Macaca mulatta: one gene and its partner. The main gene of each other region encodes a partner of the protein of the gene in region 2 in a complex. Links are inferred from orthologs where the notes say so. Each region holds a gene or a part of one and is shown on either strand. Other genes may lie near its edges. The genes, in order: WAPL and PDS5B.

Region 1 (3,810 bases), on a different chromosome or scaffold from region 2:
GACAGAGCAAGACTCTGTCTCAAAAAAAAAAAAAAAAAATATATATATATATATATAAAAATTATCGAGACATGATGGCAGGTGCCTATAATCCCAGTTACTGCGGAGGCTGAGGTGGGAGAATCACTTTAACCCAGGAGGCAGAGGCTACAGTGAGGCAAGATGGCGCCATTGTACTCCAGTCTGGGCAACACAGTGAGACTCTGTGTCAAAGTTTGATGATTTTAACATACATTTATGTATTTTTAGAAGCTGACCTGAAAACAGTTTTCATGCTGTTTATGCTATTTATTTATTTATTTTTTTGAGATGGCATCTTGCTTTGTTGCCCAGGCTGGAGTGCAGGGGCACAATCTTGGCTCACTGCAACCTCTGTCTCCTGGGTTCAAGTGATTCTCCCACCTCAACCTCCCTATTAGGTGGAATTAGAGGCACCCACCACCACGCCCAGCTAATTTTTTGTATTTTTAATATAGATGGGGTTTCACCACGTTGGCCAGGCTGCTCTTGAACTCCTGAGCTCAGGTGATATACCCGCCTTGGCCTCCCAAAGTCCTGGGATTACAGGCATGAGCCACTGCACAGGCCCTTTATGCCGTCTTTTTAATGGAAATTTAACCTAAACTTGCCAACAACGCCTGAGGAGAAATGTGGGCAAAGCAGTAAGGACAGCCAAATTAGAATTAACCCGGAGGATCAAAGGAATGACAGTAACAGCTGGCTCATCGTCTCATCCAAGAGTGAGAGAAAGAGTGAAAAAATGCTCAACATTTTTAGTAAAACTATGCAAAGCCCAGTACATTGTACTGTTTCATGTGCCTTAACCTTCAAAGGACAAATTCCCCTTAAGAATTCAGTACAGGCCGGGCACGGTGGCTCAAGCCTGTAATCCCAGCACTTTGGGAGGCCGAGACGGGTGGATCACGAGGTCAGGAGATCGAGACCATCCTGGCTAACACGGTGAAACCCCGTCTCTACTGAAAAATACAAAAAACTAGCCGGGCGAGGTGGCGGGCGCCTGTAGTCCCAGCTACTCGGGAGGCTGAGGCAGGAGAATGGCGGGAACCCGGGAGGCGGAGCTTGCAGTGAGCCGAGATCTGGTCACTGCGCTCCAGCCTGGGCGACAGAGCAAGACTCCGTCTCAAAAAAAAAAAAAAAAAAAGAATTCAGTACAGCAAAGTTTTGTGTTTGTGTTTACTTCCTTTCAAAGGAAGATTTTTATAACCTTTCATTATTGCTAAACTTTGCCAAGATGTCAAGAACTAAGGTTTCTTTTCAATTACAGTATAGTGCCACCCTTATCCTAATGCTGATAGAGTGCTCCCACTTCTCTACCCCACCTCTTCCCTGCCACCCTCAATATTAGCTCTTCAGTCTTTTAGTTAATTGTACCTTTTTCACTTATTATAAATCTCAAATCCCTTACAGGAGACAGAACAAAATGTATCGTTTTAGGAGAGAGTACTAGATGCTCTATTTACAAATTAACATTTTTAAAATACAACCAGTTTTGTGGTTTAAAATCTATCAATACGGCGGGGCACGGTGGCTCACGCCTGTAATCCCAGCACTTTGGGAGGTCGAGGCAGGCGGATCACAAGGTCAGGAGATCGGGACCAACCTGGCTAACACAGTGAAACTCTGTCTCCACTAAAAATACAAAAATTAGCCGGGCGTGGTGGTGGGCCCCTGTAGTCCCAGCTACCTGGGAGGCTGAGGCAGGAGAAAGGCATGAACCTGGCAGGCAGAGCGCGCAGTGAGCCGAGATGGCACCACCGCTCTCCAGCGTGGGCGACAGAGCAAGACTCCGTCTCAAAATAAATAAATCTATCAATACAAGCTGCTACTGGCCCCAAACTAATCTCAATTTGGAATCAAGTTCAATTCTTTAATGTCTCCACTCAATACCTCCTTAATCTTTCTGAGCTAGTTTTGGCAGAGAGTCTACCATTGTTAACTAATCCTCATTTTAAGTACTCATCTCATTTTCATTAACAATAACCATCCAAATCCTCCACAGTAATAGAAATGAGATACTCCGTGATCCTAACACAACAAAAAGAGATATTTCTTATTGGAATCGGGGTTAGAAACGTATGACTGTTCCCAAAATGTACCCTGAGCAACAGTCTATAAACATTAATATCCAAGTTGTTTTATTATTTCAACCTCCAACTGGTTTCTTTAAAGTTCTTAAATGTCTTTTACAAAACTATCAATAGTCCCCATTTATCCTAAGTGCAGAAAGAAAACACAGTATGTATTTTAGAAGTTAAATCATTTTTAAAAGTTGCTTGCATGAAGCCCTCTTGGCTGAGAATAAAGAAAATCAAAACTTACCTGAAGTTATTAATTTGTTACAGCTACTTATGCTTGCATCATCTTCTACAATTCGGTTTGTGCTCTTTTCTTTCCCAAGCAAAGTGTCCTCCAAAGGGAAGCATTTATCAGATATAACAGTGTCTTCAACCACCACATGACTAATTTTGCTATTAGCTTCAAGTACTGAAGTGACCTCTTCCAGCTGAGCAGCTTCACTAGATTCTGAGTAAGAGGAACCCTTACCCTGGGCTAAATTCTTTGAAGAAACTGGTAGAGACTCATCATCACTATCAAATCCAAAAGGATCTCCAGTACTTTCTTCTTCCACTTTAGGTTTCTTCGGAATTTCTTGGATATCTGGTTTGAAATTGGGCCTCTTCTGCCCTAATTTAGCCATAAATGTAGTCTCTCCCCATTTTGTGCTAAGGGTGGTCCGTTTGTTGGAAAAGACTTCATCAAATTTTGAACTGCCATTTCCACCTTTCCTACTGTATGTTTTCCCAAATCTGGATGTCATTTTGACACCAGTTTCATATTCTGTGAAAAAAAATTTAAGAAAACATATAATCATCAAATACTCAACAAGTGTTAAACAGTGCTATAAAAATAAAAACCTAGGGATTATTCCCTCATGACTTTTGACATCACCACAGACTTTTAAACAAACAAATATGAGGAAGGGGTATAAAGAAAGGCTGATTTATTACTCTACATGCTTCCATGTCAATTTTCCTCTACAATGAGTACATATTCTTATGCTACTTACAAAGTAAAAAAACTTAATGATTAACCAACTTATAATACGATATCCACAAAGCTAACTTGAAACGTATTAAGCTCCAAATGAATCAACTTGCTATTCTTATAAACATCATTTTTACCTTAAAAAATAATCTGTATAGAGGCTGGGAGGTCGAGGCAGGCAAATCACTTGAGGCCAGGAGTTTGAGACCAGCCTGGCCACCATGGTGAAACCCTGTCTCTACTAAAAATAAAAAAATTAGCTGCGAGTGGTGGCACACGCTTGTAATGCCAGCTACTTGAGAGGCTGGGGCAGGAGAACTGCTTGAACTCAGGAGATGGAGGTTGCAGTGATGTTATAATAATCTATATAGGGTAATTACCTATATAAAATCTTAAGCACAGAATGTTAATTTTTTTCAGGGCCTCAGAAATATCCAATACTTGATTAAATTTAGTTCTTTGAAATTTCATGGCACTAATTCATAGGAGAAAAAAGGTCCCCAAAATGGTGCTTTTTCTCATGTTTTACAACCTGCAGCTTTTAACCCAATCCTGAAGATTCTGCTTCTTGGTGTAATGTAATTCGGGCTGTGACTTAAAAAATGTTCCTTAGATGGTCATTTCCCTAAGGGAAAGAAACTATCCTTATCCTATCTGCCTTGTCCCGATAGTGCTGTGCTCATTTGCTGAGTTACATTTTCTGGAGCTAGTGAGCTCCAGCATATTACACTGTTTCATGGATTA
Region 2 (4,494 bases):
AATGAATAAAAAGGTGAGAAGGGGATGGAAGGTAATGTGCTACCCTGAATTTTTATTAATAAATATTGCTAAATCCTGAATAGAACAAAAAAAAGACAATGGGGAAACTTCTCAGCTTCCAGGATATCTAAGAGCTGCCCCAATTCCACCACATGAATACGACTGTGACCTCAGATAAATCAATGAAATTAAAATCTGAACCGAATTTCTCATGTATAAGCGAGTTGGAGATCATCCTTAAGTTTTCTTGTTGCTCTCTAACACTAACGGAGGAAACATAAATAACTTTTCCAATATAAGTTATATACAGTCCATGTCATTCAAGAGTCCATAAGCCAAATCTTACTGAGCGCACTCCTGTTAGTTCTAAGGCAGTCTCTAAATTTCCCAAGAGGAATAAGCAGAAAGAATACAACTTCCCGAAATATTCCTTTCTCACAAAGTTTTGGGTATTTTCTACCATTGCATTCTTCTCCAGGGCAAGCCCTAACACAAAGTATTACTTTATCTTAGGCCTAACAAATTATTGATAAAGCCTACTCCTCAAAATGTTACTTTGTTAAACAAAGCTGCAGAACAATTTAAACAACTTTCATCAAACAGCCAACTCGGTAGAATCTTACTACAAGTAAGCTTAATACAAACATCTCACGACAAGAATCACTATCATCAGTACATGTGTCTCTAATACGGGGGTAAAAATGAGAGGGGAGAGACATAACACGAGAGAATAAAGGCGACAAGAGTAACAAAAGCTGCTGTAAAAGGTAATATAGGGAAAATCAGCCTTAACCAAAACAAGGAGAAAAGAAAAAAAGAAAAAGGGTGAACACAAACACTACCTTCCCATTTAAAATACACCTTTAAGTAAACGCCAGCTGAGAAGAGGACAATTTTTTAAACCATCAGAAAAAGGAGGAAAAAGTCACTATTTGGATAATTTTTATAAAGTCTAAAGTGCATCTTTTTACATATACTTGTAAACGTATATCAAGCACAAATCTTATTTCTAAGGAATAACGTTCTTAAAATGTTTTTAGTTTCTGACAATCAATCGATCTTAACATAAAAGGTCCCATGTAACTTTCACCTATTCACCACTACAAATTTTAATTCGGTTTTCTGCTATCACCATGAGATACAAGATTAACTGTTCCACGAACTGACCCACATACACCATTGAATACTCATTTCATTGTCCCTAAAGATGGGAACATCTCAGACATGTGTACTGCATAACGAGCTGTCTTTCAAGTCCATATTTGTGGCTTTTAACTAGTTTACCTGACCACTACATGAGTTAATATAAAAAACGTTCTGTCTGGGAACTCTGGATGGGTTAACTGAGAACAACGACTATATTGCCGTTCAAGTATTGGGTAATGACGATTTATTTACAGCTCGCCTCCTGCATGTAAACACAACGTGAGTTTTTGAAGTTTATTAGGAAGATGGTATAGGATTACCCAACTCTCTCCACACCGCAGACCAACCCTCTAAATTAAAGCTATATCCAAAGTTTCCGAAACTATTTCATCGACAGGGTAGGATCAGTCGGGGCACCACTGCCCATCCATCACCTCTTATTAAAAGTACAAGAAGCACTTTCTTCGACATAAAAAAGGGTTAACCCTTGCTGGGGTAGAGAGGCTGTTGAAGACGCGCGCGGAATGGGTGGGTAGCTGCTCTTTCAACCCTTCCCGGAGCTCGCCCCGTCCGCGGCAAGGAACGCAGCAGCCTGCAGTTCCGAAGGCGAGGGGCGGCGTTTCTGGTTTCAGTCATTCCTCCAAAATAACTGTCGAGCTACTTCTGAGTTAGCTTTCACGTCTCTACCAAAAACCAACAGCAGTAGCAGCAACAACAACAAACAAGGTTTTTCTCCGGACCGAAAACTTTTAAAGTAGCATTAAAATAACAGTGCAAAAACATTAACGAGTCACAATTGCACACCATTTTCCCCGCCGTTCCTTCCGAAAGGAAAGCTAGAACCCAGTTGTCGCCTGGGAGGAGTCCCTCCACGCCAGCGCTGGGCTCTTGCTCAACGGGGTCCTCAGGTTCCCCGAGCACCCACTCCGGGCGGCGCGGTGAGCGCGATTTCCCTCGGGCAAGCAGCGAGGAACAGCGCAAAAATGTCATGCTCAGCCCGTCCCCTGGCCCGAAGCGCAGGCCAGGCGGCGCGCGGGGACCCGGCGGCGAGGGCGAGGGCGAGGGCGAGGGCGCCCGCGGCCCCGACCCGCGGTCCCCGCCCGCCCCTCGCCCGGAAGGGGGAGAAGCCCGCCCGCGGGAGGATTCAACAGGAGCACCGCGCCGCCCGCCTGCCGCCCGGGAAACAGCCGCCGGCCGGCCGGGGCGCGGGGGGAGGGGCGCGGCGGCGGCGGTGGCGGCGGGAGGGCGCGGGCGGCCGGGCGGCCCCGGGACCCCAGCCCGCGCGCAAGGTCACCGCCCGCCGCCGCCGCCGCCCGGGCCGGGATCAGAGCGGCAAGTTTAATTTCCAGAGGCTGCGGCAGAGCCCGCGGCGTGGAGGCGCGAGTCGGCCGCGGGGCCCTCCCCACCCCCACCGCGCAGCCGGCCCGCGCCCCGCGACCCCCGCCCCGGGCCGCCGCCAGGCAGCCGCCCGCTGCAGCCCCCGATGCCGGGAGGCGAGTCGCGCCTGGCACCCGGGCGGGCGGCGCTTCAGCCCTGCCACACACACACACACACACACACACACACACACAGCAGCAGTGGCGGCCACCGAAAAATGGAGCGCCGCGGCCAGAGAAGAGAGACATTTTCTTTCCGTTAACTGAATTGTTTCCTACCTCCGGGTTTCCGACTCGCTACTCCTCTCACTCCGCGGCTCTCCGGGATCCGCCGCCGCCGCCGCATCCAATCGCCTTCTCTCCCCCCTCCCCTTCCGCAGCCAGCCCGGCCGTTCCTCCTCCTCTCCGCTTCAAAATGGCGCCAAGCGCTCTTCGGCGGCTGCTCCAATCGAACCGCCGCGGACAGCACCCGGGGGCAGGCAGAGCGCGGCATGGGTGCGCAGCGCCCCCTGCCGACCAGACGGCCCCGCGCGCGCCCGCCCTCCGAGCTCCGCCCCGCCCCGTCCGCGCGCGCGCACTCCCCTCCTCAGCCCCGCCCCGTCCGCGCGCACGCAGCCACACGGGCACGCCGCCGCGGAGGCCGCGAGACTGGCAGCTGTCAAGGCGTCCACTACCCTTGCAGCTTACTAGACCTCCACCGACAAAAATCATTCCGATTGTTACGTAGCCCTATCTTTTTAGATAAAGATTGGGAGATTTTTTTAAACACTGACATTCAGCACAGGTGTTGTGCTAGGTTAACATAATTGGTATTATTAACTACTTTGCTCCTTGTTAATTCTGACCTAGTCGTCTCGGAATGCCATACAAATAGTTTTCCTACACTTTATGTGTTGTGTCTTTATTAAATCTCCCCGCTTTCCTAATTTGATGAATTGTTCATAGGTGGTAAGCTGGCGGAGACACAGAGTAATTGAGCCTGTGACGAAGCATTCTATTCCTTTGGCAGAATTGTCCTTATTAGAGGAAGACATCATCTGGAGACCACAGGGACACATTCCAGGAGGTGGGTCTCCTCCCCTCTTCACCTTTCGGGGATGCCAGTCCCTCAAGTGGGTTTAGCCTGGTCACAACAGATCACCTACCTTTGGGGAAGCTTTTCCTCCCCTGCCAGAACTGAAGAAGGGACTTCCTCCTCTTTTTACTTTAATATCATCCCTCCTGTAAGGAAGTTTCCCCCGATATGATGTATTTGGTTACTAGAATTTTGTTCCAGGGAGAATTTGTTTCAACAATGAACAAGCAAAGGGTGAATGAATGGATTACAATAGGATACTTATCAACTGAAAGAAAAGATAGGTAATGCTGATCTGTAAACTAATGTTACTGTGCACCTAGAGATACTAGGTGCATTTTCCTCTGTCTGTCCTAATGGTAATTGCCTCATTCACCCTTACCATGTAGCTGTTTTGAAGGCTATCTCCTTTCTGCACCTAGAGATACTGAGACCTCTTCATTTCCATTTTTGTGGGATTTCCTGGACAATTCCGCTTCAGTCTCCTACAGTGCTTGCTAGACCAATATGTTGTGTTACTGTATTCCTATGTCCAAGATTTTGCCACTGAATACTCCAGGTTCTACCCATTTTACACATTCCTTGATGAAGTCCACTATGAGTTTTTTCTGCTCTCTTTTTAAAATTATCTCAGGAATTTTCTTATTTTACATTGTTGTTCCATCAGCATAAATCTTGTATGGAAGAAGAGAGTAGGATGTCTAGATCTAGAAAAACCTTTCCTCTTTGGTTGTTTTTATCTTTTTTACTTTATTTTCTTCAATTCCCAAACCTCCAAAGCCAGGAAGCAAGAAAGTTTCAGAAGAACGGCAGGATGAGAGCAAGAATTTTTTTTTTCTTTTTTTTTTCTTTTTTTTTTTTTGAGACGGAGTCTCAATCTGTCGCCAAGCTGGAGTG

Evidence for each region.
Region 1: the proteins of PDS5B (region 2) and WAPL are in contact, whole or in part, in a crystal structure (PDB 5HDT), measured with the Homo sapiens proteins. The link is inferred for Macaca mulatta from reciprocal best matches to the Homo sapiens genes PDS5B and WAPL. Residues at the interface, in NP_055847.1 of Homo sapiens: Gln47, Phe88, Ala92, Pro93, Ala95, Trp137, Val138, Lys139, Ser140, Asn142, Ile143, Phe145, Glu146, Glu187, Gly188, Asp189; in NP_055860.1 of Homo sapiens: Lys7, Thr8, Tyr9, Ser10, Arg11.

What each region holds. Positions count from the first base shown.
Region 1 is NC_133414.1:63,336,912-63,340,721, reverse strand, and holds part of WAPL (wings apart-like protein homolog), read right to left. Parts: intron 2,860-3,810; coding exon 2,341-2,859; intron 1-2,340. UniProt on the Homo sapiens protein: Regulator of sister chromatid cohesion in mitosis which negatively regulates cohesin association with chromatin. Involved in both sister chromatid cohesion during interphase and sister-chromatid resolution during early stages of mitosis.
Region 2 is NC_133422.1:12,352,060-12,356,553, reverse strand, and holds the start of PDS5B (sister chromatid cohesion protein PDS5 homolog B), read right to left. Parts: upstream 2,946-4,494; 5' UTR 2,802-2,945; intron 2,325-2,801; exon of another isoform or gene 1,951-2,324; intron 1-1,950. UniProt on the Homo sapiens protein: Regulator of sister chromatid cohesion in mitosis which may stabilize cohesin complex association with chromatin. May couple sister chromatid cohesion during mitosis to DNA replication.